7 linked regions of the Canis lupus familiaris genome follow. The protein of the gene in region 3 interacts with the protein of the main gene of each other region in a pairwise test. Links are inferred from orthologs where the notes say so. Each region holds a gene or a part of one and is shown on either strand. Other genes may lie near its edges. The genes, in order: EIF4E2, RHOBTB3, UBXN11, USHBP1, PRKAB2, TLE5 and EIF4E.

Region 1 (4,781 bases), on a different chromosome or scaffold from region 3:
TTTCATTTGGGCAGATTGGGGCTCCAAGTGAGAGAGGGGGCTTCCCAGAACACTGATGGCTAGGGCAGCCATCATGAGAGCCTGTGTCTCTCATGAATAAATATTTTAAAATCTTTTTTAAGATTTTATTTACTTATTCATGAGAGACACAGAGAGAAAGAGAGAGGCAGAGACACAGGCAGGCTCCACGCAGGGAGCCCGGCGTGGGACTCGATCCCAGGTCTCCAGGATCACACCCCAGGCTGCAGGCAGTGCCAAACCGCTGCGCCACTGGGGCTGAATCTAAATATTTAAAATCTTAAAAAAAAAAAAAAAAAAAAGAACACTGGTGGTTAAATAAAGTTTGGAATGCAGAATTCCCAACCCAATTTTAGACACTCCCAAGAAAGATTCGGTGGCCTGGAAAACAGACCCCTCTTCCTTCTCTTCTCAAAGGGCGGCGGAGCATTTGCACTGGTCTCAAAGGATGCTTAAGACAAGGAGGAGCTGGGCAGAGAGGCTGGGAGGTGATGGGCTGGGCTTTCCCTTCCGGCAGGAGATTCTGGATCCACTTAGAAAACAAGATGCCCAGCTGAGGTCTTCCTGGCGGGAGAGGCAAGGCCCGGCTTTGAGAATACAGCTGGGGCCCGAGTTCTGTTGGTGAGGAGAGAACCCGAGCAGGTCATTTGTGCCCTCTGAGCCTCTGTTTCTTCATCTGCAAATATGGGTTCGGATTTCCGCTTCCTACCTATCCACCCCCATCAGAGGATCAAAGGTGCGGGTGACAGTGAATCAAAAATGTGCATAAGGGGCAGTCCCGGTGGCGTGCGCCTGCAGCCCCGGGTGTGATCCTGGAGACCCGGGATCGAGTCCCACGTCGGGCTCCCTGCGTGGAGCCTGCTTCTCCCTCTGCCTGTGTCTCTGCCCCCCTCTCTCTGAACAAATAAATAAGTCTTTAAAAAAAATGTGCCTAAGACCTGACAATGGGACATCGTGGGGGCGGGGGGGCTGGTAATAACCGCCTTCCCCAAGCACAGGGGTGCTGGCTTGGGGGCTCCACCAGCAGCAGGTTCGCGTCCTTAACTCCCGTGCGCGCCGCCCCTGTGTCCCCGGAGCAGAGGCTTCGGATCCGGGAGGCGCTCGCTCCGAGCCTGGCGGGCCCATCTGGGGTTCCGGTGAGCTTCGCACTAACTGTGTCACCTGGCGTCGGTCTCTCCACATCTCCGACCGCCTCGGGGGGCGCGATGAGCTCCTTCGCTCCCCCGCACAGGTCAGCAAGACGGAAGACTCCGCGCGGGCGGCTGCGTCCGGCGCCGGACACCGGCGGTCCGGTTCTAGCCACACGGCGACCCGAAGGGGCGTGGCCGGGACCCAGGAGGAAACAGCCTCGGGCAGGTGAGGAGCGAGTCCAGGACGGTGCAGCCGCCCCCCGGGGGGTGGGGGTGTGGAGTCGGGGCGCCCCCTCGGACGTGCGGCGGGGACCCAGGCAGCCTCCGCGCAGCCGCCGCGCAGCCGCCCGGGGCCGGCGTCCCGGGATACCCGCCCCGCACCGGACTAGCGCGCAGACGTTCCGCTGCGCCGCGCGCAGCCGGAAGTGGCCGGGCCCTAAACTGGGGGGCGGGGGGGGGGAAACCCGGCGGAGCGGAAGTCACTCCGTGAGGCAGTGGCGACGGCGGCGGTGAGAGGATGAACAACAAGTTCGACGCGTGAGTGGCGCGTGGCCGCCCCGCGGGGCCCCTTCCCCCAGCCGTTCCCCCCGCGCCCGCCTCCACGGGGGCTGGCAGCGGCGAAACTCCCCGGCGCCGTCCTGCGGCCTGGGCTTGGGCTGCGGGCCTTCGCGGCCCGGGCGGCCGGCGGGGGAGAAGGGGGGCTGGGGGGGGAGGCGTCATGCAGGGGTGCGGAGCGGGGTACGGCCCCAGGGCGACGCGCGGGGTCCCGGGAGGGGTGGCCGCGCCGCCCGGAAGGAGATTTTTGGACGCCCCGCCCCGGTGGGTGCGGGTTGCCGGCGGCGCGGAGGGGCGGGGACGGCGGCGACGGCGGCGGTTTTGGGGTGTTGGCGCAGCCCGGCCGCCCTGCCTCCGGACCCGGCGGGGGCTCCACGCACACGCTCTCCCGCCCGGGCAGCTCGCCTCGCCCCTCTGAGTCCGGGTTCTCCTCTGCAGAGTGGGGACGGTGACAGCCCGGGCCGGAGAGTGGTGAGGATGCAGTGAGGTAATGTGGCCGTTGGCGCCTGCAGGCGGCTCAGTTACGGAATGCTCCCGGCCTTCGCGAGGCTCCTTCCTGCTTCCTTTCTCCTCCCCCTTCCCCCCCACCCTCCCCGCTCCAGCACGCTCCGCAGGAGCTGCCCCTGTTCTGGTCCCCCGAGCACCCCCCTGTCATTGCCCCCGTTTCCACCTCCCCAGTTCCAGCAGCATCGTTTGGGGGCGCAAAAAAAAAAAAAAAAAAAAAGGAAATGCAGAATTATTTCTTTGCACGTTTCCCTCTAGCGATTGTGTCTTGAGGCAGGTTATGTGCTTCTAGTAAGCATAGTTGATCTCTAGGGACCTAGATTCCCAGGTCCAGACCCACCAGTTTACCGCTTCTATGCCCGTGGAAGAGTCACCCACCCATTGTTAACGTAAAGCACGTTAGCGGTTGGGGCCCTGCTGCTGCCCTGGTGTGTGAGGATCAAATCGCGTTCAGCAAGTGCTTAAAGGGACTTTGTAAATTGCTAATAGGGAGGAATGTAAAGTGGCATCACTGTTTAGGTTGTGACCTGCTGCTGATGGGAAATTGTTTTTTTTTTGGAGTTTTTTTGTGTGCCCCCCCCCCCCCCGCCCCCCAGTACAATGAGTGCTGGTTTGCACTTTCGGGAGTCCTGGATTTCAGCGCTCTAGGCAGCTCCTCTGGAATGTGTTCCTGGTTGCTGAGAAGTCTCTGGGACTTGGAAAAAGTCTTTGGCTCAACGTTCCCCCAGCCTGCTGCTTAGCTGAGCCCATCTCAATAGGAACAGCCACACTTCCCACCACCCCCCCCCCCGCCATTTGCACCCCTTATATCTTAAATCTTTGCAACACCAAATTCCAGATCTAAGTCCTCCCTCAGTAGAGCTTTCTGTAAATGCTATACCTCTTCCTCCACTGAATTGAACAGATCAACATTGCATCTTAGGAAGGCACTTTATGGGTCAGCTAAGCCGAGTCTTGCCCATATCATTTGGGGATCTGCGGTAAGCTAATTTAAGAATGATAGTAACAGGGGATCCCTGGGTGGCGCAGCGGTTTGGCGCCTGCCTTTGGCCCAGGGCGCGATCCTGGAGACCCGGGATCGAATCCCACGTCGGGCTCCTGGTGCATGGAGCCTGCTTCTCCCTCTGCCTGTGTCTCTGCCTCTCTTTCTCTCTGTGTGACTATCATAAATAAATAAAAAATTAAAAAAAAAAAAGAATGATAGTAACAGGTTTCATAGGAATCTTGGTAGATACTTTTCATATGTTATTTCTACTGCTAACAATTCTGCTAAGGGGATCATGTTACCTCCTTTTATAGATAGGAAAATGAGGCCCTCTGAGGTTAAGTAACTTGCACACGAAAACAGGAAGGTGCACGTAGCAGGATTCAAACCCCGGTTTGTTTAACCTTGGTTCAAGTAACTCTTGACAAAAATTAACCTGGGTCATTTTTAATTCGTTATAATTATTAACTATGCCTTATAATGACCCAGAATTTTTTAACATCTCCTAGGTATGCAGTTAAAAAAACAACAACAAAGCTCTCATTTATTTGAAATTAGCAATTAGAGACCACACTCCTGCCCCTAGTTTTTATTTTTCATGTAACAAGTTTGTAGGGTTTTTTTTTTTAAGTTTGTTTATTTAAATAATCTCTACACTCAGCATGGGACTCGAACCCACAACCCTGAGAACAAGAGTTCCTCTGACTGAGCCAGCCAGGTTCCCCAAAAGTCTGCAGTTTTTAGACGTTTTAGTTGTTTGGCTTCTGTACTCTTTACCACGTGGTTCCTAAGGACTGGTTCCAGTTTGCCAGTATCCTAAAAGTCCAGTGCCTAGAGCTGGGTACTGTAGTCTAATCTGATCAGCCCAGTTTAAAGAAGAGCTCTAACCTCCTGCATGGGCTCGATTTCTGAGAGTGTAATCTAGGATTATAATTGCACCCCACCCCCTACATCTATCCAGTCAGTTAGCTACCACTGTCATTGACCCTGTTGATGTGTGAAACCTTAGGATGATTTCACTATTCTGCAGTCCCAGACTGTGATTACCTTAGTTTTCAGATCTAGATGCCATACTTGATTTTGTTACTGTTCTCTCTTTGCTAGTTTTTGGCCCTTTCTTACAATATTGGCCGAACCACCTGTTGGCTCCCATCCTATTCTGCCTTGTATTGCTTTGATTTTAGAAGTGCATTCATTAAACATGTTTGTTGTCTGCCTCGGTCTCATGCTGGGCATGTAAAGATGAATTAATCTAAGTTCCTATCCACAAGGAATTGGTCTACTTAGAGAGCAGTGTGAGGATAAACCTGGGCAGAGGTTTGGTGAGTTGACTTGGAGCCACTCAGTCTGGATAGCCTTAGAGATGCTAATTGCCCTCCTGAGTCTGGAGCACTGATTTTTAGTCCTGATTGTATCTTGGCTCAAATCCAGCTTCAAGCTGGAAGAGTAGCCTCTGGAAGACAGGATGCAAGTGATTTGCTTTAAGTATAGGCTTAGAGGGCAGGGTTAGCTCCACCCTCAAGAAATAACACATTAGAATTTCCTTTTATCATCTCTGAAGGGAGTCAGGAAGTGTGGTCCAGGAACCA
Region 2 (4,817 bases), on a different chromosome or scaffold from region 3:
TTTGACCTATGGTTACTTGAGGGGACTGACAAGAAAATATATTTTCTGTTGACCCAAGAGAAAAGGTGATCCTATACTCTTAAATATTTCAGGATGGCTTATATTGTAGAGACTAAAAGAGAAATTATACTTAGAGCGAGGAAAATTAGATTTAAAAAAAAATCAGTGACTACAGAAAGAATGCCTCTTGCTGTACGCTATGAGCATGAGAAACTGTATTATACTGCTTCCAACTGAGCAACTAGGGCCCATCATAAAAAGCTGTTCACATTCCAAAGGCCTCTTACCCTAGTCTTTTCACTGCCCTAGTCAGTACCTCAATACTTCTTCAGTACCTCATATCCTCAAAATAGCTCTTTTGAGAAAAGAAATTTTAAAGTAGGCCAAAAATAAATAAGGAAAGGGATAAAAAACTCAACACAGAGCACTTGTGAGAATTTTCATGTTTATGGAGAAGCTGAGTCCCACAATAACCTCTGGCCCTTCTTCTCGGTATTAGTGAATTCCAGTGTTCATTTGCATTAAGTTAGTTTGGCCCTTTAGCGACATTCATAACCTTTACTTCAGTGCGTTATCATGAAAGAATCTAAAGTATCCTTGCATTAAGCATGATCGTTATTTTTTCAGTTGGTCTAAGGATCTATTAATTAAATATGTAGCTTTAACGTGTACTGAAAACCTCCAAGTAAGCTAGCATTCATCTTGTAAACAAGTTAAACACCCCACACATAACTTCTTTTTAAAACCATCGCAGTAAGAACCCCAGCACTTAAAAAAAAAAAAAAGAAAAAAAAGGAAAAAAGAAAAAAACCTAACCCTGCAGTTTTGGTAAAATATGCCAAATATAGCCTGAAATAGTAAATAATCCCTCAAAAGCGATGTTAGCAAATTAATTGGTGTGTGAACAAAGACCCCTTTCTACACTAGCATGAATGTTGCCTTTATTTTTTTTTTCTCACAAGTATGATTTTAGAAAACAGCTGTAGTGCATGTTGACAAATGACAAAGCGGCAGACGTGGTAAAACATTTTCCGTCAAGGCCAAGGGGGGTGGGGGGGAATGGGGCTGCCGGAGCGGCCAACGGGCTTGAACGCCTAGCTTCCCTAACCTCTTCCCCCAGGCTTTAGGGAGCGGGGGCCTCAGCGCCCCACCCCCTTCCCCCGGCTCCGGTTACAGCCTCTCGAGTTGAGCAAACTTGCTGCAGGCGGATCGGCGATCAGGAGATCTCCGGCTTGGGCGCTGCATTTATTAATTTATATTGCGCGGGGCCCTGCGCGGGCTGCTCCTTTGTACCCGGCGCCGCCGCCTGGGCCGGGGAGGGGGGAGCGCGCCCGACCCCCGAGGCCAGCACGTGCTGCGCCCGCCCGCCAGGCCCGCCGAGGGGGCGGAGGCCCCGGCTTCTCTCCGGAGCCGCTCTCCGCCAGGAGGAGGGGCGGCGGCGGCGGCGGCTGGAGGCGACAGCTGCCCGGCCCAGGGAGCGCGGCGGGACCGGCGGCCGCGGCGCCCGGCCACGGGGCGGCGGGAGGCGGGAGGCGGGAGCGGCGGGCCGCGCGGGATGGCCCCGGGCCCTTCCTGACTGGCTGGCCGCGCGCACACGGCCCGGCCCGCACGTCCCCGCCCGCGGGGGCCCGCTCTGCGTCGGCCGCGCCGCGGTGGAGGCGCGCGAGGGGGACGCGGCCGGGGATGAGCTGACTGCGGGGAAACAGCCGCCGCCGGGCCCCGAGAGGCCGCCGGAGCCGCTCGCCTCCGAGTCGCCGCCCTGCCCTTGCATCCGAGATCATGTACGTACGCGCCGCGGTCCTGCCATTGTCTGCGCCCCGGCGCGCGCCGTGCGCCCCGGCCCGAGGGGCTCCCGCTGCTCCCCGCCGCGCGCCTGCTGCCCCCCGCTCGAGGGGCCCCCGCTGCTTCCCGCCACGCTCCTGCTGCCCCCCCCCGGCCCGAGGGGCCCCCGCTGCTCCCCGCCGCGCGCCTGCTGCCCACCCCCCCCCCCACGCCCGGCGGGTCCCGCTCGGACCGCGCTCCTGCTCCCCACCCCGCCCGCCTGCCCCGCTCGGACTGCGCCTGCTGCCCTCGCCCCCTCTCTGCGGTGCAGGTCCATCCACATCGTGGCGCTGGGGAACGAGGGGGACGCGTTTCACCAGGACAGCCGGCCGTCGGGGCTCATCCGCACTTACCTGGGGAGAAGCCCGCTGGTCTCGGGGGATGAGAGCAGCTTGTTGCTGAGCGCGACCAGCACGGTGGCGCGGCCGGTGTTCACCGAGTATCAGGCCAGCGCGTTCGGGAATGTCAAGCTGGTGGTCCACGACTGTCCCGTCTGGGTAAGCGGCGGCAGCTGCTCCGTGCCCAGACGGCGGGGCTCTGCTTCCCGCCCCCCCCCCCCCCCCCACCTCCTCCTCCTCTCTCCTCTCCTCTTTCATGGATGTGGACCGGCTGGGTCACCTGGGTAGAGTTTTTAGACATTTGGGGGCAAATCTTTGTCTTCCTTTGTTTCCCCAGGCAGGGGGCAGCCCTGGGGGAGAACAGTCGTGGAAGGTGAAAAAAGCCCCAGTGGCAACATGGAGCACTTACTCGTATGCTTCGCCGCCGTAGGCTGTCCCTTGGTAGCTGGCAGTTGACTGTGACAACCCCCAGGGACAGGGTCACTAAGCTTCACCAGCAGAGAGCAATGTTTTTTCATGCCTACCCCGTGGGTGATAGTGTAATATTAGTGTTCTAAAAATAAAGTCCTCTGTAAGCTTAACTCAAGCAAAAATAAATTTCACTGGGACAGTTCAGGACTAGGACCCCTGGAAAGGAGAGGAAGACACAGGAGCTGAGAATGGATTTTAAACCACTCCTTTATAAAGCTATCCCCCTTTGGACATTTTAATTAGCGTTTTTAATTTTAATAATGCGGATACTCCTGAGATATTAGCTTATTTGTTTTCAGTGACTCATAAATCAGAAATAAGAACGCTGGTTGGAATTTTCAGAAAGCTTTAAAATTTGCAATAATTAAAAGAAGTATAAAATTCTAGTCTGATTCTTAAGTGCTTCATAAAAGGAGAAAATATATTCTGAAGTTGATAAAATTCTACTCTGATTCTTGAGTGCTTCATAAAAGGAGAAAGGACTCTTTGACACAAATATTTTCAGTAGGCAGTATAATAATACACAGTAACTATTTAAATGTTTTCACTAAATCTTATTTGAAAATTTCTGATTCTTTACTGCTTTTGGAGTTATAACTAAAGCTGAAGATTGTATTTTTTTTGAAGGTTGTATTTTATAACAGAAGAAAGCTTAGTGTCTGAAAAAGAGTGTAAATTATCTTTATGTGAGATTTTACATTTTTTTAAAAAGACTTTGTTATTTATTCATGAGAGAAACACAGAGAGAGGCAGAGACACAGGCAGAGGGAGAAGCAGGCTTCATGCAGGGAGCCTGATGTGGGATTTGATCCCAGGTCTCCAGGATCAGGCCCTGGGCCGAAAGCAGGCGCTAAACTGCTGAGCCACCCAAGGATCCCCAAGATTTTACATTTAAACAGCAATTTTAAAAAGCTGAATTATGTGCTATAGGGAACTAATACACGTTTCTAAAGGAATGTGTGGAATGTAAGTAGAAAAATTACTTATGCAAATTACAGGAAGAAAAGATCTCTACCTCAAATGATCAGTTAAAGGATATTTCTGTTAATGAGCTGAAATAAATGAAAAACAGGTTTGTTTGTTTGTTTTCAATAAGTGGGATGGCATTAAACTCCCTTTTATGACAGTGATGATGCCAATCTTAAGAAGCATCGGTAAAGAACTTACTGGCTGGATTCCATGCGAGCAAATGAAATACCTCTTTTATTTTGGCCATTTCATTGTGAAAAATCATACAGTCTAAAAACTTACTGGGTTTACATGCAGTTGAACAAATGATGTGAATGAGTGAATAGAGTAAATAAGTAAATTGGAACAAATGAGTGAATAAAGTAAATAAATGTAGAGAAAATAAACTGAATTAGGATGTTAGGATTACCTTTCCTGTTTTTTTTCTTTGAGCTGTTAACTCTTTCCTGTTTATGTTGTTAATTTAGCAAAAAACAGTACTTGTAATCCCATGTATTGTAGTAAATGAAATCTTCCAAATGTATTAAAATAAGCCTCTGTAGTCTAGATTTTTGCCTTATACTCAGCGTTGTTTTTTATCTTGCTTATCAACTTTTATGTGTTTAGACTCTGGTCCTGTTTAAGGCATTAAGTTTTGGTACATGTTTTTGGGTTATAAAGATCTTCAAGCATTAGGGAACATACTTATAGAGCTTCTCTTTGTAAGGTGCTTCTCTTTTCTTAGTGGTAAGTAAAAGTCCATCAGAGATATTCAAGTTGACTGTATTTATCAGCTGATACTTGATGTGTACTGAAACAGTATATTCAGTATAGCAAAACAGCACAGGTTTGGATATTTCAGATCCCTACATTGCTACTTAGTGGCTTTCCTTGGTGAGTCAACTATCTTCACCTAGCCCTATTTTTCCTATGTATAAGATGAAAAGACTCCCTGCCTCCTAGAGCAATGCTGAAGAGTAGATGAGATAAATGAGATAGTATATGTAAAGTTTTTAGGCTAGAAACCGACATGTAGTAGGTATTCAGTAGTGGTAGCTCCTATAAAAACAACAATGTGTTTATTACAATGTTAGTATAGTCATGTATCGCTTATACTAAGCAAAAATAAAGTTTCCTGCACATCATTCAACATTTACACAAATACAATCTACCGAGCCAGCAGTGTTATTACTTAGTAGGTGCTGTATCTGCAGCCCCACAGTGAAGTAGAATAAAATT
Region 3 (4,154 bases):
ATTTTCCTAATTTCCTGCAAATCTATAATAACTTTCAAATAAAAACTTAAAACTGGGGGATCCCTGGGTGGCTGGGGGGGTCCCTGGGTGGCTCCGTGGTTTGGCGCCTGCCTTTGGCCTAGGGCACGATCCTGGAGTCCCGGGATCGAGTCCCGCATCGGGCTCCCGGCATGGAGCCTGCTTCTCCCTCTGTCTATGTCTCTGCCCCCCCGCCCTGTGTGTCTATCATAAATAAATAAATAAATAAATAAATAAATAAATAAATAAATAAATAAATAAATCTTAAAAAAAAAAAAAACTTAAAACTAAAGAACAGACAAAAACAAAAAAAAGAGGAGTTAGCCCAACCAAGGGAAGGGTGAAGATAGGAGTAGGGATGCTATTCCAAGAAGGGGTTCTAGGCTGGGGGAGCCACATGTGCCAAGGCCAGTGCTTTTGAGGCCAGGCTGGCTTGAGTGTAAGAGGGGGAGATGGGGGAGTGAGGTTAGGAGGCATCGGCAGGGACCTGATCATCTATGTTAAGGAATTTTGAATTTCTTTTCTCTGGGTGAGGAGGAGCCATTGGGAGGTTCATGCGAGACACAGAGAGAGAGAGAGAGAGAGGCAGAGACAAGCAGAGGGAGAAGCAGTCTCCCTGTGGGGAGTCCGATGTGGGCATTGATCCCAGGACCCCGAGATCACAACCTGAGCCAAAGGCAGATGCTCAACCACTGAGCCACCCGGGCACCCCAACGTGTTAGCTTTATGTTTATGAAGATCCCTCTGGCCAGATGCTGGAGCAGGGAACCATGAGGGACTATTGCACTTGGTGCCACACAAACCATTAGGATGCCTGGACAAGACAGCAGGGACTAGGGGGAGGCTAGGGGCAGATTGGGAAGGCTGATGGTAGGGATGAGGCAACACTAGACCTGGTGGGGTATGAGACCCAAACTCCGGAATGAAGACTGAGAAGCTGCCTCCAGCCTCCATGCCGGGCAGCTTCAGGGGCGGGGTGGAAACCAGTGCCATACATTTTCAAAGTGAAACTGCCTTGGATTTGTCCTAAAAAGGCTTGATTCAGGCCCTGATGGGGGTCCTCTGGTTCTAGGATTTGTAGATATTTAGCCACATAATGTACTAATTCACTGAATAGTGTTGGCCTTTATTTATTTATTTTTAAAGATTTTATTTATTTATTCATGAGAGAGAGAGAGAGAGAGAGGCAGAGACACAGGCAGAGGGAGAAGCAGGCTCCATGCAGGGAGCCCAACGTGGGACTCGATCCCAGGTCTCCAGGATCACACCCTGGGCTGAAGGCAGTGCTAAACAACTGAGCCACCCGGGCTGCCCTAGTGTTGGCCTTTAATTCCATCACTGATGTGCATTCATCTTTCCAGAAGGAAGAGGAAAGGAAGGGAATGAACATGTTTGAATGTCCTCAGTGTATAGCAACAAAAGCCATAACATTAAAAACTTTTTTAAAAGATTTTATTTTATTTAAAATTTTAAAATTTATTTTTATTTTTTAAAAAATATTTTATTTATTCATTCATGAGAGACACAGAGAGAGAGAGGCAGAGACAGGCAGAGGGAGAAGCAGGCTCCATGCAGGGAGCCTGACGTGGTACTCGATCCAGGGTCTCCAGGATCACGCCCTGGGCTGAAGGCGGCACTAAACTGCTGAGCCACCAGGGCTGCCCAAATTTTTTTTATTTTTAACTAATCTCTACACCCAACATGCGGCTCAAACTCACAGCCCTGAGATCCAGAGTTGCAGGCTCCACCAGCCTGAGCCAGCCAGGCGCCCCCACAGTTTACATTTTTCCGTGCCTCCCCTCAGTGTGGCACTGGGCTCCGTGCCTTATGTGTGTTATCTCTGAATCCTCTTGTTAACCCTACCTGGCTGGTACTGTCACCATATCAAAGGAGACCAAGGCACGGGTTACCTGGTGGACGGCAGAGCCTGGCTCTTGATCTCCCTACCACACAGACTGTGCCTTGGTCGAATCCTGCCCTTGGGTTGCTCCTCTGTGGCTCCGAGAGTCAGAATGACAGCTGAGTTCCTGTAGGAGGGAACAGGACACTTGAGCTTTGTGTCCACAGCTCCTTGAAGGATGGCTAAAAGCCCCAGGCCTTCTGGGTAATCTGGTGACCCGGCTGTAAGTTGGGAAAGTCCCAGGCTTCTGACCCATCTCTGTACCCCATCCCCCTTTCCCAGCCAGTCCAGGGGCCCCCAGGGCCAGAGCAGAAAGCAAGATATCCAGAGGATCCAGCAGACGTCAAGTACACGGATCGTGAGGCCAACCTGCCTCCAGAAACCTCTGCAGGGGCGGTGGGAAGAAGTGAGGGGTGCTGCTCCCTGGACAGTGCTCCCTCCTGGGAAAAGAAATGAGGGAAGAGGAAGTTTCCCTGATCCTGAAGCCCCGGGCTCCCTCTGTCCCCTGGGACTGACTTCCTTCCATCTTCTCAGGGAGTTCCTGACAGCTAGAATCTAGAAGTAGAGCTATGAGCTCACCTTTGGCCTCCCTTGGCAAGACCCGAAGAGTCCCCCTGCAGTCAGAGCCTGTGAATCCAGGGTAAGGAACCAGCCTCAGGGGGTATTTATGTTCATGCCCCTGCCTCCTCTCAGCCCAGTGGACTAGGAGAAGGGCTCCTAGTGTCTCCGGGAAAAGGTGAGGAGTCACATAGCCTTCCCTGACCACCGTATCTTTCTCTTCTAACTTCTTCAGAGAGGCTCTGCGGCGTCTGAGCAAACACTGGGTTGTGCCGTCTAGCAGGGTGTGGGCTGGGTGGGAGCGGCGCGGCACCCGGTTATTCATCGTTCTCGTGTTCATTGGCAAACACCGATTGTAGGGCTCCCCTGGGCCAGCCACGTGCTGGCCCTCAGGAAGAGAACGCTTTACATCTGTCTAGCACTTCATCCTTTTGAAGCATTTTTTTTTTTAACCTCTCTTCTTGCTCTTCTGAACACCACTTTGAGTCATTTGAAGGCCGGGGAGATCTAGAGCAGTCAAGGGACCCACCTGGGGTTTGCACAGTCATTTTAAAACACAGCTGGGGCTGGGCTTCTGGGCTTGGGAGCTCTGTGTCTTCCACCCAAACCTCTGCCCTTCAGCCCTTCCCCGCCCTTCTCTGCTGGGAGGAGGGGACACCTCAAAGCCTGTCCCTTGGCTTGCCCAGTGCCGAGGATGCGATTTGGGAAGGAGATAGCCTCGGGAGGCAGAGGCCCAGCCTCCATCTCCTTTAGGCTTGGCTGGGCACCTAGACTGACCCCCTGGGACATTCCAGAGGGTCCTAACTTGTCTATCTGTCTTTTCCTTCCTGCCTGGGTTCCTAGGAGGCGAGGGATAAAACTCTACGGAGATGGTAAGTGTGGGCTCTGCCCTCGTGTCCCCCTCACTTCCCACCTGCTGGTCTCCCTGGGGTGCAGATGGAGAGAAGGAACAGGATGATCACCCCTGTCAACCAGAGCAGCTGGCCCACCTGCAGCTCCCTCATCCCTCCCCGAGGACAGGGCTTCCTGGCAGCTTTCTGATTAGGAGGCGCACCCCCTTAGAAGAGATGTCATTGCTAGCATTTGAACCCCTCCACTTACTGTGGGGCGGGCCAGTGGGTGCCGAGAAGCCATAGGGGTCAGACCCCAGCCTTCTCCAGCCCATTACCACCTTTTCTCCCAGAAGCCCCATCCTCATTTCTCTGCCCTGCCTCCTGCAGGCTCAGACTTTGGCATCCCAACCCCATTCTTGCTGCCACCGTGTGGCTGGCATTGGCTACTCAAGTCCTCCCGGGAGCCAGGCTGTCAGAATTACAAGAAGCCTGTTCTGGTTGGATCCTTGCTCCCTGACATCCCACATGTTCTATTCACATACACTTGGGAGTACAGCATCCAGGCTGCTTTATCCAGGCCAGAGCCCAGGGTCCCAGCTTCCTCTGGGCCTCAGCCCCAGAGCAGTGACCTGGGCATCCCTGTCTGCAGAAGACGAGGTGGACGTGCTGAATAATGGACATGGCTCAGAAGAAAGGATCTCCATCCCTTCATGCTATGGCGGCGTAGGTGCCCCTGTGAGTAGGCAAGGTGAGAACAGAGGCCTAAAAGGGTCTGGGTCCCTAGCAGCCGGAGAAGGTCTCAGAGAGGGGGCAGCCGAAGGAAGCCCAGAGAGGCACAGACCTAC
Region 4 (4,193 bases), on a different chromosome or scaffold from region 3:
ACTTATATTTGGGATCTAAGATAAAACAAAACGAAAAATTGAACTCACAGTTATAGAGAACAGAGTGGTGGGTGCCAGAGGCAGTGGGGGTGAGGAGAGGAATGTGGGTGGGGGTGAGGAGAGGAATGTGGAGCGGGGATCATCTTTCCCAGCCAGGAAGTGGGCCCCACCCCTTAGGCTGGGCTCTGGTGGCCCCATATCTTGCCACCTTGGCCTGCCCAAGATGAGGGCCTGTTCCCCCATCTCCTTCAGCCACATGGCTTTAGATTCCATCCACATGTTAAAGAGGTCGGGATGTGTTTCTCTTGTCCTGACATCTCCCCTGAGCTCTGGATTCTGACCCCACAACTGTGTCTTTGATGGTCCTACATGGGTGGCTCAGGGGTTTCTTGAACTCATTAGGGTCCCAACAGCTCCTGGTCCTGCATTTCTGGCTCCCAGTCCCGCAGGCCCCCAAACCAGGACTTGTCCTCAACCCTTCTCTGGCTTTCACACCCAAACCTGCCAGCTCCACCTTCGACACCACCCAGAATCTGCCCACTTTGTGCCACCTCCACAGTTTCCACCATCTGGTGTCTGGACCAGTGCCTCGCGGATCCGCCGGCTGTTCCTCCCATGCCTACCAGAGGGCGCCTGTGACCGCGGCACCAGGTCCCGCCCCTTTCTGCCGCGGGAGGGCGAGGGTGGGGGGGCGAGGGGGAACCCCCCAGGAGCCCACCAGGCTCAGGGCCAAAGCCCAACTCCCAGAAGCCCACAGACCGTGTAAATCTGCCCCCATCACTAACCTGCCCTCCCCTCACCCCCACACTGGCTTGCTCACTGTTCCCTGACTCACACTCCCACCTCTGGAAGGGAGCTCCTTCTCCGCCTGGCATGCTCTTTCCCCAGATCCTTGCATGGCTCCTCCCTTACCTCCTGGCTCAAGTGTCACCTCCTCAAGGGGCATCTCTGACCACCTTATCTAAGAAGGCAAGGCACCTTTGTTCAGGGCTCTGCAGCAGTCAACGCTCCATAAAAGTTTTTCTCTTTCTTTTTTTAGATTTTATTTATTTATTCAGAGGAGACACAGAGAGAGAGGCAGGCTCCCTGTGGGGAACCTGATGTGGGACTCGATCTCAGGACCCTGGGATCATGACCTGAGTCAAAGGCTCAACTCAAGTCAACCACTGAGCCACCCAGGCGTCCCTCCGTAAGAGTTTTTCTAATGAACAAACAATGGAAGGTTGCCTATGCCAGGCCCGCCTCCCCCTTAGACAGAGAACCCTCAGAGGTAGAGCACAATACGTCGAGACCCTCACCTCTCTCTGCAGCATCTCCTTCTCCCCCTGGATGGCCTGCAGGGAGGCCTGCGTGCGAATCAGCTCCTCCTCTCGGCTGCCCAAGGCCAATCGTAGCCAGTCATTCCTCTCTGCCAGGCTGGCTGCCTCCCTCTGGCAACCACTTGCCCCCTCCTGCTCCAAGCAGGGCCTTGGTCCCACCTCACTTCTGTCCTCTGCCTCCCCGGGCCCAGGACAGCTGGGGGGCCGGCGGCGCCAGGCAGCCGCCGCCGCCTCCAGGGAGCTCAGAGCATGCTGGAGAACCTGAAACACGTCAGAGGCTTCAGGCCTGGGGGGGACAGTCTCCCCATCCTGTGGAGCTACATCTCTGGCCTGGTGGCCTTCCTCTGCAGGCTTGCGGGGTCCCTCGGGAGATGGGGCCAGTCCTCTGCTAGAGTCCCCCTCAGCCTCTTTGTTGGTCCTGTGGTGAAGTGAGAGACAGAAGGTTCTGGAAATGGGGTCATCTGGGGTGGCTGGCTCACAGAGGGTGCATTATCCGGGGCCTTGAAAGTTGGGCAAGGAGGGCAGTGGGAAGCTACGGCGTGTGTGTGAGCAAGGGAGGAACACAGGTAGATCTGTGGGGAGGAAAGACACACCAGGGCCGGAGTGGGAGCCCAGACGGAGGGGACCTTACCTGTTCCCAAGGCCCTGCCCACTGGCCTCTGCCTCTGGCCCCTGCAGCCTCGGCTCGCAGCTCTCCTGAGATGGCACAGGGCCCAGCTCAGAGCTCCCGCTGGCTGCCTCAGCCTCCTCTGAACTCTCCGCCACGGGATCCAGCTCCCCCTGAAAATGACCCACAGGGCCAAGCTCCGAGCCAGGCCGGGGGCGAGGGGGTGAGTGACCCCAAAGAGCTGGATGCGGCAGGGAAGGGGGCACTTACAGGTGGCGCGTGCCTCCCTCGCCGGCTTCGGGGTCGCGTGGCCCGGGCACTCATTGCTGTCCAGAATTCAGTCCTCTGATTCTTTTTCCGAAAGCCGCAGCCTGATCTCGGCTCTTGTCTTTGTTGGTCTGGGCGAATGACAGCCTTAATACCTTCTTCTATGAAATGAGCATCGATCTCCTCCCGCTGGGAGGGATCTTGAATTACCAGTGTTGAGCTGGCACATTTGAATACCCCTCCTGACAGGCAGCTCACTACCTCACAAGTTTGTTCCCACCTCCCCTTGTCTTTTGCCTCCTTTATCTTTCACTACCTCTGTGCTCCCCTCGGTCCCCAATCTGGACCTGGCTCGAGGACTTCAAGAATCACCTCTCCTCCCCAGGGTCCTCTTGAGTCGGAGGCCCCAATCTTGGGGTTGGGTCCCCTCAGCCTGCTCTAATGCTACTCCTCTGTACCTCTAGGAATACCTTGGTCAGCAGCCCAAATCCCTGGACACTCTTGGGGTAGCTCTGGCCACTGCTTGCTTAGGCCCCGGGCTGGCCAAGGCTGGCTTGGGAGAGGCCGGGAAACAGGAAGCCCCCTCCCCTGGTCATGTGACTTGTTATTGTGCTATTTCCTCCTCAAGGACATCAGCTTCCTCCAGTCCCGGTGGGACACACATGTCCAGCTCCTGACCTGTCGGTCCTTCCTTGCCCCAGCCTCCAATCTCATGTCTCTTCCGCCTCTGAGCCTCAGTTTCCTTATCTGTAAAATGGGGGGGGGGGGCTTTAATTATAGGATCTGTCTACAGTGTCATGGGAATTTTAACAAGCAACTTGCACATGACTGAGCACCATCCAAGAACTGAATTGTAACACACCACTCTTGTTCGCTGCCTCTCCGGCCCTCCCATCTCTGCTTCCTCTGCCAGCTGCTGCTTCTCCTGGATTCCTCAGGGCACAGATCGCCCCTACATCCTGCCCATTTTTCCTGCATCCATCTCTAAAGGGCCTCGTCATCTCCCTCCATAACAGCCCAACCCTCTCCCCTCTACCGGGATGCCAGCCCCTCTCTCTCCGTGGACTCTACAGCCACCCACCCCTTGACTCCCTTCCCCTCCCAGGCCCCAGAGACAGAGACCTCATTGTTCACCTCTTCTGCTCACACACCCTCCATGACTCCCCATTGCCCTTGGGAAACATTTCAAGCTCTTCTACCCGGCATTCGAGGCCCTTAAAAATAATGCCTGCTGTCTGCACCCATGTATACTCCATGCTTTAGCCATGATGACCCCTCTGTGAACAGGTGAAGGTTCACAATTCTCACATCCCAGGGCCTTTGGTTATGCTGTAACCCTTTCCTTGTTTCTGCACTTGGCTTATTTTTTATTTATTATTTTTTAAAGATTTTATTTATTCATGAGAGACACAGAGAGAGGCAGAGACATAGGCAGAGGGAGAAGCAGGCTCCCTGCCGGGAGCCCGAAGCAGGACTCAATCCCAGGATCCCTCGGGATCAGGACCTGAGCTGAAGGCAGCCGCTCAACCACTGAACCTCCCAGGTGCCCCTACACTTGGTTTAAACTGCGCAGAGCCTGGAGTAGCCTGAATCTTCCTCATTCCGCTGACAGACAGAGGAGGCTGAGTCTTCCTGCTTCTGCGTCCCCAAAACTGGTAAGGAAATAAGTTGCAATTCTCTGACTTGGGGGCACCCAGGCACATTGAAATCTACACTCTTAGCCTCTGCTCCAGCCATTTTTTTAAAAAAAGATTTTATTTATTTATTCATGAGAGACACAGAGGCAGAAACAAGGCGGAGGGAGAAGTAGGCTCCCCGCGGAGAGCCTGATGTGAAACTTGATCCCAGCATCCTGGGACCACCACCTGAGCTGAAGGCAGATGCTCAACCACTGAGCCACCCAGGCGCCCCTGCTCCAGCCATATTAACCTCTTAAAGGTTCCATCGCTCCAAGGCTCTTGCAAGTCTCAGGACCTTTGCCAAGGCGATTCCTTCTTTCT
Region 5 (4,925 bases), on a different chromosome or scaffold from region 3:
ATTAACTACTGACTGACTCATAAATGCTACTAGAGCAAAACAATGTCATGGGTAATCCCCCAAAGGAGATGACCCAAAAGTCATTTCTATTTAGACAAGAAGTTTCTTTTCTTAATAAGTTTTCCACTCGCCAATATAATATCTGGTTTGCTTCTGCTATGCTGATTTGACTACTGTAAGGACCTATTTATTATTTGGCATAGAGAAGCTACCCTGTGGTTAGAAACCTGAATAATACACAAGATTCAATGTATTACTCCCTTCAGAGGCCTTGCTGCAGAGTGCAGTGGAAAGAATGAACGGAAGTGGTAGAGAGGGGAACAGTAGGGACCAAAAAGGAGGTAACCAGGCAGTGGAGATTTTGGAGGGAGGAGCAAAAGGTCACAGTAAAAATGTTATCCGCAACATTCTTTTTTCTGCAAACTGTCTTTGGTTAAGAACCAGAGAATCTGGGATCCCTGGGTGGCACAGTGGTTTCGTGCCTGTCTTTGGCCCAGGGCGCGATCCTGGAGACCCGGGATCGAATCCCACGTCGGGCTCCCGGTGCATGGAGCCTGCTTCTCCCTCTGCCTGTGTCTCTGCCTCTCTCTCTCTGTGTCTCTATGAATAAATAAATAAAAATCTTAAAAAAAAAAAAAAAAGAACCAGAGAATCTCTGAGTTTACTAGGGCAGAGGAAAGACAAAAGGCAGAGAAGCGAATTTGTCAAACCTAAGTGTATGGTTTTTTTTTTTTATGAAAAATAAGCTTTTCAACAAAATAAAGCTGTTCATTCAAAAAGGGTGGCCTTGTACGACGTGGCATTCCCCCATCGCTGTTTGTTTAAGTGGTATTATCTTGTTAGAAATGTAGTAAACGGTATTATACCCTTCACTGTGCAAATATTTATTAAAAGCTTACTCCGGACAAGATGCATGCAGAACAGGAAGAGGAATCAAAACTAGACTTGCTCTCTGCCAGCCTTCAAAGCAGTGCTTGACACTTTAATATGTATACACATTCCCCTGAGGATCTTGTTAAAATGCAGATTCTGATCCTGTAGGATAGAGCCTCAGATTCTACACTTCTAGCCAGCTCCCAGGTGATGGCAAAGCTGCTGGTCTGTGTCACACACATTGAGTGATAACGGTTTCCGCTAGGGAATCGGAAAAGCACATAATTATAACACAAAGAATGAATTAGTAAATACCATACACGTTCCATTAATCATCAGCAAAAACCTAGATCCGTTCCAACCCGAGGACAATCTCTGTCCTTTTCTGCTCTCACTGTTCCTTCTCTTCTTGTTGGTCTTCCTCAAATGGCATTTCTTTTGGGGTTGCTCGTTGCATTCGCGGTTTCTTAGCTCAGAATAGCTTTCTCCTCCTCTTCAGACCAGTTTCACGCATCTGTCAAGGTTTCTCGCCTAATTACTCCTTCCTCACTGGGGCCCCAGTCGAGGCTGCTCCCCACCGCAGCCAGCTGGAAGGTACCTCAAGCAGTCGCCACTACTTCCTTCTGATTCCAGGAGGAAATTCTGTTTCTAAATCCCTGGAGGAACCCACCTGTCCGGGTTGCCCAGAGAACGTTCTGTTTAACCTGAAGCCCGGTGAGGCGGGCGGCAAGGAGGCAGCGCCGCTTCTCCGGGTACGGAGCGCCTGAGGCCGGGAGGCGGCCCTGCGGTCCCTGGAGCCCGTCTGCTCCGGAAGGCCGGCCCGCGGCTGACCGCGCCAGGGTTTCTGGGTCGGGTGGGCGGAGCCCGCGCCCCGCCCCGCCCCGCCCAGCCCGAGGCCAACGCGGAGCGGGCGCCCCCGCCTGGCGCGAGAGGCTGCCCACCACCGAGGCGGCGGCGGCGGCGGCTAGAGAGGCCGCGAGCTCGGGAGCCGTCGCCGCGCGGCCGTAGGGAACGCGCGCGGGGCGGGCCTGGCGCCCCTGGCCTCGTAGCCATTTTAGGAGGAAACCCGGATCTCCAGCCCGGGGCGCGGCTTCAATTTCAATAACTTTATTGGTGGACGTAACCGCAGAACAGCCATCTCGCGAGTGGCTAGGGGAGGAGGAAGAGCATCGCGGGAGGTGACTGGGGTGGGGGCTCCCCCGGGCAGTGAACGCGGGGATGCGGGGAGTTCCCCGAAGCGGGTTTCCCCAGCGGCGGGCGTCGAGAGGCGGGTGGCGGGTGGCGGGTGGGGGGTGGGGGGCCGCGGGCGCTGCCGGAGGCCGAGGAAGGAGGGGACCCCGGGCACGGCTTCCCTGGGGCGGGGATTCCCTGGCCCGGGTCCCCAGGCGCAGGGGCGGAGCGGGGGGCGTCCCTGACGCGGCCGCCGGGTGTTAAAGCCCCGCGTGGTTCGCCCCGGCAGGTGGCCCCCGACTCGAGCTACAGCCATGGGAAACACCACCAGCGACCGGGTGGCTGGCGAGCGCCACGGCGCCAAGGCTTCTCGCGCCGAGGGCGCCGGCGGCCACGCGCCGGGCAAGGAGCACAAGATCATGGTGGGGAGTACGGACGACCCCAGCGTCTTCAGCCTGCCGGACCCCAAGGTGAGTCTCCCCGCGCGCGCCCCGGCGGCCCAGCCCCCCTCCCCTTCCGGGCTCCTCCTCATCCCACCGACCTACGTTACGGTTTTCTGAATTAAAGGGATGGGGCTGGGGAGGGGGGGGGGGGGGGGGGGACGGAGATGTTGGAGGGTAACTGACGCCTGCGGCGCTGCCTCGAAATACTATAGAGGCGGGGTTTCTGTCGTTCGCCTGACCTGCTGGCCATATTTTTACGATGGGGACTGTAGAGTCGTCCCCCCCCCCCCCCCACAACGCCACACACACACACACACCCATCCCCGGTTTTCCGAACAGGCAGGAGCCCTCTTGGAGAGTAGTGATGAGTTTATGGGTTGTAAACCCTATAGACCCTGGTAGAAAACTTCAAAGACGGTAGGTTGCCTGAGTGGCTGATCATCTGAGACAGTTTCTCAGGTTTACCCTGAGGTAGGCAAACGAATTTCTTTTTTTCTGATAACCTGTAGGTATCAGTATCATTTTTGCTCCTCTAAGAACCCAGCACTTCGGATCCTCTTCCCCTTTGGCAGGATTGTGAGCAGCAGCCACTTGCCTATTTGATACTTTCTCCTCGTCTTGGAGATCAGTACAGGACTTCCTTTGGCTGACTGCTCAGTTGTTCATCTCATCCTTTATATTGCGGTTGGCTGAGGTGCTTCCTTCTTCACACCCAGCTACTGGTCAACTGGGAGAGCAAACGATCCAGGATTTCTCCTCTTCCAGTAGGAATTCGTGATGTTACCATCGCTGAAAACGGACAACCCGCAGCTGCCGGGCAGGCAGACCTTGCTCTCAAATCCAAGGACTTCCAGAAAAGCGGCAACTTGTGCCCACCCGTAGATTAGATGGAGTTGACTGCAATGGGATTACCATCCGAATATTTCTAGTCCCATTTAGAGCTGTCAGCATGAAATAACAATAATCCCTCCAGGCAGTCCGAGTGGGAGGAAGTAGAAAAAATGGAGGGATTGAGGAGATTCAGGTGTGTTTGATGTTTTTTTTTTTTTTATCACTTCAAACCTTTCACCAAATTGGGGTTTTAGGGAGTAAAGAAATGATTTGCCCCATTGGTAGCACATGAAATTTGGATTCTGTTTATTTTCTTGAATCCCAGTTGAAAACATAACTACAGAAAAAGAAGTGAAGGTGGTTAAAAGCACCATCTTGGGGTTTCGTCTCCATTCCTTTCTTCCTTCTCCCACTTTAGAACTTCTTTCTCAGCATTTGGGCCATCTAGCCAGTCATTTTGAATTTCCTTAGAAGCTTTCTCAAGGTGATCCACCTCCTAATTTTACCCTTTTCCTATGTCAATGACTCAGGATTTAAGTACAGTGTATTTGTCAAACTCTGACTGCAATAATTGGTGTGCTGAATAAAAGCCAGGTTGCTCCATCTGAAATGGAGCCTATTTTGGTTCCTTCCTTCCCTAACCCCAGTCTTGCCATTTGTGAGTAAGAAAATTGGTTCAGATAATTCCTAAGGTCTCTTATACATGTAAAATTTTATAGTTCTCAATCTAGTCTCTTTACTTCTTCCTTCATTGTTTTACTTAAATATTTTCAAACTGTAGTTCTCATTGTTTTGCCTCTTTTCATAATGATTTTGCTGACAATTTAACTTGGAGTAAATGGTCTTTCTGCTAGTCAGCTGCACTCAGGCCTGCCACGGAAATGTCATGTCATATGTGGAAGGGCTTTCTTCCAAAGCCGGGCATGTTAATAGTTTGTAGCTTTCAAATTCGAAATTGAAAATACTAAATCATCAAAGTGACTCATAGAAACAGTGGCAGTGGGGTCAACATTGCTTCAAATGCCAGTCCTCTTCAGTGGACTAGGTCAGTGGTTCTCAACCCTGTTTGCACATTAGAATCACCTAAAATTTGTTTAAACACTGTATGGAAAATTAGAGACATTTTCCATGTTTCAAAGTAGTTAGAGTAGTATAGTAAACTCCTATATACCCATCACCCAGTTTAAACAATGATTAAATTTGAACAAATTTATGTCATGCCTATGCCAGTCCACTTCCCCCTACCAAATATTTTGAAACAAATTCCAGACATCCTATCAAATATTATTTTATCTGTAAATATTTTAGGATGTATCTGTAAAGTTGAGGTTTTTTCCTTTGTTTAACATAATCACAGTAATAATATTCTCTGTGAAGCTTTTTAAAAACAGGTTCCTAGGTCCCATATGTAAACCAGAATCTGAGTTATTCTTAGGCATATGTAAAAATTTTTGTAATTCTAATGCAGCCAGTCAGACAAAGGTGCATTCCTTTAGGAATATGGAGATCAAGGTTTTCACTTAAGTCACTTCCTTACATAAGGTGAGAAAGTCCCTTCAATTCTCTGTTTACTTCAGTTTATGCTGTTACTGGTGTCTCATTAGTATA
Region 6 (3,524 bases), on a different chromosome or scaffold from region 3:
AGCAGGCGGCTGGTGGGACCATCGGGTCACGCGCCCCCCCTCGGCCTCTCTTTCCTCGGGGACCTGAGCCACTTCCCCAGAGGTAAGCAGTCCACCCCAACCCCCCTCCCTGTGCCCTTGGTCCAACCTGGGAACCCACTGGATTGGGGCAGGTGGGAGTTTCTCGGAGTCCAGAAGTCCCTTGGGTGCCCGGGTCCCTTAGGGTCTGCAATCTACACTGCCCGCCCTGCCTCATCCTCAGCCTTGCCCCGTTCCCTGGGGGGGCAGCCGGAGGCCTCTTGATAGCCTTCCTTGGGGTTCCCCTGGGTGGTCCAGCTGGGGCGTGGCAGGGACGCCTTGGACAGGTCCTCGGAGGGTCTGGTTCAGCTGGGGGGGGGGCGCTGTGTGTTCTCTGATCTGGCCAAATGGGCAGAGTGGGGATGCAGTGGGCGTGGGTCCTGCGGGCTCAAAGTCTGGTGTCTAAGGGAAAAGAATGGCACCGAGGAGCCCTCTGGCCTGGGGATGGGAAGCCGGGTCAGCTCCGCTTCAGGCCCCTGGGCCGGGCTGTGTGACCCAGAGCCTCCAGCTGCCCCTCCGGTCTGGGCATCAGTTCGGGAGACAGACTACAGGGACAGGCCGGACCCCCCACCCCCACGGGGACTCTCCGGATCCGGCCCGTCAGGAGGAGGGAGCTCAGACACGAGGGAAGCCCCCTCCTCCCCTGGGAAGGGGGGCACCGCGGCAGCCCACAACACAGAGGCAGGAACAAGGCAACCAACCTTCTCACATCTTTATTTGAAAGGCACAGCTAAGCCCACCCTCGGTACAGCAGTCTCCCTTCTCTCCGCAGCGATCAAACGACTCTACACAACAAAAGCTGACAAGTCTAAAAGGCTATATACAGACACAGGTGTGGGTGTTGCTTGTTTTTTTAAAACATTTTTCTGTCCTTTTTTTCTTTTTTTTTTTTAAATATCCCTTTTCTTAAAAGACAAGCTAGTGTACTGGAAAAAGGAAAAAAATAAAATAAAAACCAAGACAACTTGAGTACCCTCATCTTTATTGGGGAAGGGGAGAAAGGGAATTCTGGGACGCCCGCCCGCCCCCACCCCTGCGCCTGGCTAGGCTCCCTCTCTCCGCCCCCTCTCCTGCAGGGGAGAGGAGCGGTGGGCGTGGGCTCTGGAACTAGCCTTGCGGAGGAGGAGGGGAGTGAGGGGGGAGGGACGCGGGGTGCCCAGGGCGGGAAGGGGCAGCTAGCGTGGTGTTTGCATGCAGTGCCAGGGTGGGAGGCTGGGGGCGCGCCCTGAGGGGCCCGGCGGGCGCGGGCGGGGAGGTGCGGGGGTGCTGGGCTTCTGGAGGCTCTGCTGTCTTCGGGCCTGGCCTCCCCTGTGCGCCTCCAGGCCTCAGCTTACCTCCCGGGTGGAATGGGCAGGTATTGGCCCACTCCGGCTGCAGGGGGGGCGGGGAGGAGGGGAGAGGGAGGAGGAGGAGGGAGGCTGGAGCCGGGGGTGTGAGAAGCTAGGGGTGGCACACAGGCAGGGCTAGGACCCCAGCAGGCGGCTACCATAAATACTACCGAGTTCAGCCAATCCCGAGCTACACTGTGTCTTGCGCTAAATGTTCCTCTCTCCATGTCTGTGTCCCCTCGCCCCCCCACCCTCCCCACCCCGCCACCCGCTAATCCGACTTCTCGCCGTCATCCTCCTGGTGGGTGTCACCGTCGTGCCCGTTCTTGTCTTCCTTGGAGAGATGGGCCTGGGAGCCCAGCGCAGACAGCGAGAGGAGGCCGGTGCCGGCACTGACGGCGGGCAGCGAGGGTGGCTGCAGCCCCACGGGCAGTGGGGTCAGGGGCAGGGCCAGGGCCTGCAGCTGGGACAGCTGATGGGCTTGGAGCTGCTGCTGCAGGGCAGACGGAGGGAAGCATTAGCTGCCTGGGGCCCCTGCCCACCCAAGGCCCACCCAAGGCCACCCAAAGCCCAGACGTACTCGGATGATGGAGTTCAGCTCGGGAGCGGTGACCTGCTTAGCCCTCTCGATGGCTCCCAAGACCTGCTGCTGGTGCTGGAAGGGGGATGGGGTAGAGACAGAGGAGCCAGGTGCTGTGCCCCGATCTCTGTGCAGGTTTGGGGCACAGAGCCCAAGAGGAGCCACCCTCCCTGCCCCCGAAAAACCCCTCCCTCCAGCCGCTTCTGTTCACCAAGCCCCAGTCTCTTCCTCTGGAAAATGGGGACAAATGACAGATTCAAGAAGACCCAAGGGGATTGGTGCCAGATACTGAAGAAAATGCCATTAGGGGAGTCTGAGAGAAACCCCGGACCATGACCTATTCAATGCCATGTGCAAAGGAGTCAATGAACAGTGCACAACCTGGCCAACCATACAGAGAAGACCTGATCCTAAGAGCCTGCAGCCTGTGCCTCTGAGATCTGCTAATCCAAGATCCTCTCCTTGCACAACTGGGGAAGGCCCAGTGGATTCTGGGTTCAGGGCAATCCCTCCCACACCCGAGCACTCCCTGAAAGTCTGTTTCTCCTGCCAGTTTCCCTTTTTGCCTTGCCTACCAAGAAGTTCCTGTCATGAAAGGAAAGCACAAGTCTAGGTCTATCAGAGCCCCAAGAACCCCCTTCTCTAGGGTTTTCATAGTATCCTTCTGGAATTGTCTCTGGGCAAGCAGGTTACCCAAAGGGCCCCAAGACATGGTCAGGAATCCAAGAGGAAATGATAAATTATGGACAGGAAGCCTGGCAGAGGGCAGGAATGGCTCCGGTGATGGAATGGGCCTCACACCAACGGTCTTAAAACCCCAAAAAGCCGGGATGCCTGGTTGGCTCAATGGTTGAGCATCTGCCATTGGCTCAGGTGGTGACCCTGGGGTCCCAGGGTCGAGTCCCACATTGGGCTCCCCGCAGGGAGCCTGCTTTTCTCTCTGCCTGTGTCTCTCAGGAATAAATAAATAAAATCTTAAAAAACAAAAAACAAAAAGCCAAAGCAAGAGCTCAGTGCGTGGTTCCCCGGGGTGCGTGTCCACGCGTCCCTGCGTTCATGTGCGTGCAGACCTGTGTCTGCAGGTGCGCGTGCGAGCCTCATCTATCTGTGTTGAGCCCGTGCACGCCTGCCTCTGTGTGCACGTGTGTGTGCAAGTGCCCTCCCCGAACATGCGGCCCCTGGTTTCTGGCCTGAGGCGGCCCCCAGGGGCCTGGCACACAGATCTCAGAAGGGAAAAAGGCAGAAGCAAGAAAGGGAAAAAAAAGATCCTTGGTGCAGCCTTTGGCATATCTGACGTCTTCACCCACGAAATGACTCACTCAGGCTGGGAATTCCACAGCAGGGTGAGGCCCCTCCCTGTACTGCCCTGTGCCCCTGGGGTTCCTCCGATCTGCGGATCTTCTGTGTCTGGGAGGTCCAGAGAGGGGAGGCGTGTGCCCTGGGCACCCAGCAGCTGCTGCCCCAGAGGGCCGTGGGCGGGGGTCGGGGTGGGGGGAGGCCCGGGCAAGTTCATGGCCCAACCACCTCCTCCTCCCTTCAGCCCCGGGGGTGCCACTCAC
Region 7 (3,137 bases), on a different chromosome or scaffold from region 3:
TTTACATACTAGTCCAGTGAAACCCATACCGTATTACATATCAGATATAAAGTGATTGGTAGTTGATTCTCACCTTCCACAGTAAGTTTCTCCTGGTCATTTCATTAACTTCAAAATTGCAGAACTTCACATTTGTAAGTTTTTACAACCTTCTTCAGAGTATTACTGTGTATAAATTTTTTAGGTCAGTGAAGCAAACAATGAAAGCATAGCTTGATATTATTTACCTTATGTATTGTACTATAATCTAAAACTTCCAGCTTTTTAAGACATATATTAAATATGAGATAATTGGCATTTTCTATAGTGAGAAGTTAAAAGCTCTAAGCTATTAGGAGTAGGAATAATAGTCTCTTGGATTCGTAGCACTCATCACAGTGTCTCATTTATAGTTAGCACTTAATGAGTTAAGCAGTTACTGAATATTTGCATGAATTTCTTTTTTGAATGAAGAAACTTAATTTTGCTTTTGGAGATTATCAGTAAATAAATACCATTTAGAATTCCACTTTAAAAATTAGTCATTTCAGTTTTGTAAGATGACAAAAGTTCAGGAGATGGATGATTGTTATAGCTATACAATGTTGTCAGTATACTTAATGCCATTGAACCATACCCTTAAAAATGGTTAAGTGATTTAATGTCATATTTTGTCTATCCTCAAATAAAAAACGTTATTTAAACGATTAAAATGGTAAATTTTATATATATTTGCCACAATAAAAAAAAAAACCTGTGTTCATGAAAAACGGCAAGATCATGAGGCAGTTAATTTAACCTTGCACAACTATTCAGTCCTTCCATTATTTGTTTGCTGGCAAGTAGAAGCAGAAGAGCAATTGAATATTAACATAATTTACCTTTCATATGTGCCCTCACATCAATTGCCCCATTTGCTAAAAAAAGTTAAAATCATCTGTTAATGTTTTTGATATTAAACAAAGAAATGAATCTTTAAAAAGTCAGGACAAAGAACAATATACATAAATATAATTTAGACATTGAAAAAGTCAACTTTTGGTTTAAAAACTGTTTTCAGTTTTGTATATATACAAATATAAGAAACATTTGTAGTTTAATAAGCAGTGAATAATTTGTTTCATGTAATTTGGGATTGAATTTTTTTAAAGCTGCTGTGCCTTATTGGAGAATCTTTTGATGACTACAGTGATGATGTATGTGGAGCTGTTGTTAATGTTAGAGCTAAAGGTGATAAGATAGCAATATGGACTACTGAATGTGAAAACAGAGAGGCTGTTACACATATAGGGTAAGTTTTGCTATTTTTATACTTCCTTTAAAATATTAAGATAACTAAAAGCAAAGTACTGTTACAACTTTAAAAACACTTGGATTTGTAGATCATTATTTTCCTTGTATTGTTTTCATGAAAACTTATAATCTTGAACCTGCTCTATTGGTTTTCATTGTCTTGTCCATATTTTTTTTTAATTTCATTTTCCTCGCAATGGAGTATGTAATCAATGACCAAAGTATTCTATATTGGCATGTAGCATTTTATTTATCCTATGAGAATATTAAGTCTTTTTTCTACTTTAAAATCGTAACATTAGTATTACAATACTCATAGGAATAGTAATTCAGGGAGTATTGGCAAATAGTATATATTCTGTATACGTGTGTGTAAAAATTTCAGTGACTGACATTTAAATGATAGTATTTTAGTTCTGTCCATATTTTAAATGTCTGTTCTGTGCACATGTGTGTAAAATTTTCAGGGACATTTAAGTGATAGTATTTTAGTTGTGTCCATATTTTAAAAACCTACATGTGTAAGTTTTTAAATTTGGGGCATGGTGAATAATTGCCTGGAATTTCCCTATCCCCCAAGCATTGATCAGTATTAACTGGGATCCTCTTTTTATTACTTTTAAATTAGTAATATTTGACTTTTAATTTTGTGTTAAAATTAAGTATTGGTCATAGGTCACAAAATATTTGGTTTGCCCTTCGTGATTGTTTTCAAACAATATGAATTCTCCTATGAACATAATTCCTTTCTAGATTAAAAGATAATGGAGATTTTCCAGGTTTTTTCTAAAAGAGAAGTTGAGGGCAGCCTGGATGGCTCAGCAGTTTAGTGCTGCCTTCAGCCCAGGGCCTGATCCTGGAGACCCGGGATTAAGTCCCACATCAGGCTCCCTGCATGGAGCCTGCTTCTCCCTCTGCCTGTGTCTCTGCCTCTCTCTCTCTCTCTCTTTCATGAATAAATAAATAAAATCTAAAAAAAAAAAAAAAAAAGTTGATTTGTCATCATATTCTTAACCTTTCAGCATCAAAACTTAATAGTTTTGATTATTAAAAAAACAATTTAAAAAATAAGTATGAAGTTCTTTCCTCTGAAAATATAGTATTTGTGTCAGTATTTAAAATTATTGAAATCTTTGTGAAATATTTGACTTCAGTTTTTTAATGGAGGTTATTTTGTTTTGTTTTGTTTTTGTTTTGTTTTGTTTTTGTTTTTTTTTTGACCCAAGTTACATGGCTGAGTGCTCTGGCTTTCTGGCATTTTTATGATTAAGTGTAATGGAAGGGAATACTTTGTATCCTCATATAAATCTGATAATGGTTATTTTAGTTAGAAAGTTATTTTTAGAAACTTTATTTGTAGGAAGGTAGTAGAATCTTCTGGAAGGTATGAGTATGAATAAAACTATCCTAGTATCATATTGGAGAATTTAGCTCCAATATGTATAAATGTATGTCTTTTATTTTATTTGGGTGCTTATTTTTGAAGGTTTGCTGTCTTTTCTTTAGAATAAGTGTCCAAATCCCTAACTTTACCTGTGATGCTCTCTGTGATCTAGCCTCAGTTTTATTTAACCTTTTTAACTCATAGTCCCTTTCTTTATGAGCTGTAGCCACACAGCCTTATTTAGTTCCCCAGCCTTCAGATGTGCTTCATTCTCTCAGCATTTTACTTTTAACCTCATGACTTTTAAAGGGGAGATTTCTCTAATTTCACAGACAAGATTAGATCATCCTTGTTATACAATATCACAGCCCCTGTACTTACCCACGTTGGCACTCGTCATAGTTTGTTCTTAAAATAGTCACATGTTATTTGAAAATTAGGTTGCAGAGTTAGTATAGAAGGCAGAAATGATGTATGTTTT

What was found.
Region 1: the proteins of UBXN11 (region 3) and EIF4E2 interact in binary tests that used the Homo sapiens proteins (3 or more experiments, as listed by UniProt). The two-hybrid records come from large-scale screens. The link is inferred for Canis lupus familiaris from reciprocal best matches to the Homo sapiens genes UBXN11 and EIF4E2.
Region 2: the proteins of UBXN11 (region 3) and RHOBTB3 interact in binary tests that used the Homo sapiens proteins (3 or more experiments, as listed by UniProt). The two-hybrid records come from large-scale screens. The link is inferred for Canis lupus familiaris from reciprocal best matches to the Homo sapiens genes UBXN11 and RHOBTB3.
Region 4: the proteins of UBXN11 (region 3) and USHBP1 interact in binary tests that used the Homo sapiens proteins (3 or more experiments, as listed by UniProt). The two-hybrid records come from large-scale screens. The link is inferred for Canis lupus familiaris from reciprocal best matches to the Homo sapiens genes UBXN11 and USHBP1.
Region 5: the proteins of UBXN11 (region 3) and PRKAB2 interact in binary tests that used the Homo sapiens proteins (3 or more experiments, as listed by UniProt). The link is inferred for Canis lupus familiaris from reciprocal best matches to the Homo sapiens genes UBXN11 and PRKAB2.
Region 6: the proteins of UBXN11 (region 3) and TLE5 interact in binary tests that used the Homo sapiens proteins (3 or more experiments, as listed by UniProt). The two-hybrid records come from large-scale screens. The link is inferred for Canis lupus familiaris from reciprocal best matches to the Homo sapiens genes UBXN11 and TLE5.
Region 7: the proteins of UBXN11 (region 3) and EIF4E interact in binary tests that used the Homo sapiens proteins (3 or more experiments, as listed by UniProt). The link is inferred for Canis lupus familiaris from reciprocal best matches to the Homo sapiens genes UBXN11 and EIF4E.

What each region holds. Positions count from the first base shown.
Region 1 is NC_049246.1:44,367,989-44,372,769, forward strand, and holds the start of EIF4E2 (eukaryotic translation initiation factor 4E type 2), read left to right. Parts: upstream 1-1,632; 5' UTR 1,633-1,665; coding exon 1,666-1,685; intron 1,686-4,781. UniProt on the Homo sapiens protein: Recognizes and binds the 7-methylguanosine-containing mRNA cap during an early step in the initiation. Acts as a repressor of translation initiation.
Region 2 is NC_049224.1:13,913,733-13,918,549, reverse strand, and holds the start of RHOBTB3 (rho-related BTB domain-containing protein 3), read left to right. Parts: upstream 1-1,626; 5' UTR 1,627-1,779; coding exon 1,780-1,781; intron 1,782-2,092; coding exon 2,093-2,318; exon of another isoform or gene 2,319-2,355; intron 2,356-2,568; exon of another isoform or gene 2,569-2,674; intron 2,675-4,817. UniProt on the Homo sapiens protein: Rab9-regulated ATPase required for endosome to Golgi transport. Involved in transport vesicle docking at the Golgi complex, possibly by participating in release M6PRBP1/TIP47 from vesicles to permit their efficient docking and fusion at the Golgi.
Region 3 is NC_049223.1:73,114,679-73,118,832, forward strand, and holds part of UBXN11 (UBX domain-containing protein 11), read left to right. Parts: intron 1-2,452; 5' UTR 2,453-2,487; coding exon 2,488-2,558; intron 2,559-3,319; coding exon 3,320-3,348; intron 3,349-3,865; coding exon 3,866-4,057; intron 4,058-4,154. UniProt on the Homo sapiens protein: May be involved in the reorganization of actin cytoskeleton mediated by RND1, RND2 and RND3. Promotes RHOA activation mediated by GNA12 and GNA13.
Region 4 is NC_049241.1:45,884,159-45,888,351, reverse strand, and holds the start of USHBP1 (Usher syndrome type-1C protein-binding protein 1), read right to left. Parts: upstream 2,801-4,193; 5' UTR 2,664-2,800; intron 2,383-2,663; exon of another isoform or gene 2,325-2,382; 5' UTR 2,251-2,324; coding exon 2,197-2,250; intron 2,100-2,196; coding exon 1,951-2,099; intron 1,738-1,950; coding exon 1,299-1,737; intron 1-1,298.
Region 5 is NC_049238.1:58,294,392-58,299,316, reverse strand, and holds the start of PRKAB2 (5'-AMP-activated protein kinase subunit beta-2), read left to right. Parts: upstream 1-1,884; 5' UTR 1,885-2,051; intron 2,052-2,056; exon of another isoform or gene 2,057-2,140; intron 2,141-2,332; 5' UTR 2,333-2,357; coding exon 2,358-2,513; intron 2,514-4,925. UniProt on the Homo sapiens protein: Non-catalytic subunit of AMP-activated protein kinase (AMPK), an energy sensor protein kinase that plays a key role in regulating cellular energy metabolism.
Region 6 is NC_049241.1:56,593,115-56,596,638, reverse strand, and holds the end of TLE5 (TLE family member 5), read right to left. Parts: intron 2,041-3,524; coding exon 1,966-2,040; intron 1,879-1,965; coding exon 1,657-1,878; 3' UTR 755-1,656; downstream 1-754. UniProt on the Homo sapiens protein: Transcriptional corepressor. Acts as a dominant repressor towards other family members. Inhibits NF-kappa-B-regulated gene expression. May be required for the initiation and maintenance of the differentiated state.
Region 7 is NC_049253.1:18,848,021-18,851,157, forward strand, and holds part of EIF4E (eukaryotic translation initiation factor 4E), read left to right. Parts: intron 1-1,130; coding exon 1,131-1,270; intron 1,271-3,137. UniProt on the Homo sapiens protein: Acts in the cytoplasm to initiate and regulate protein synthesis and is required in the nucleus for export of a subset of mRNAs from the nucleus to the cytoplasm which promotes processes such as RNA capping, processing and splicing.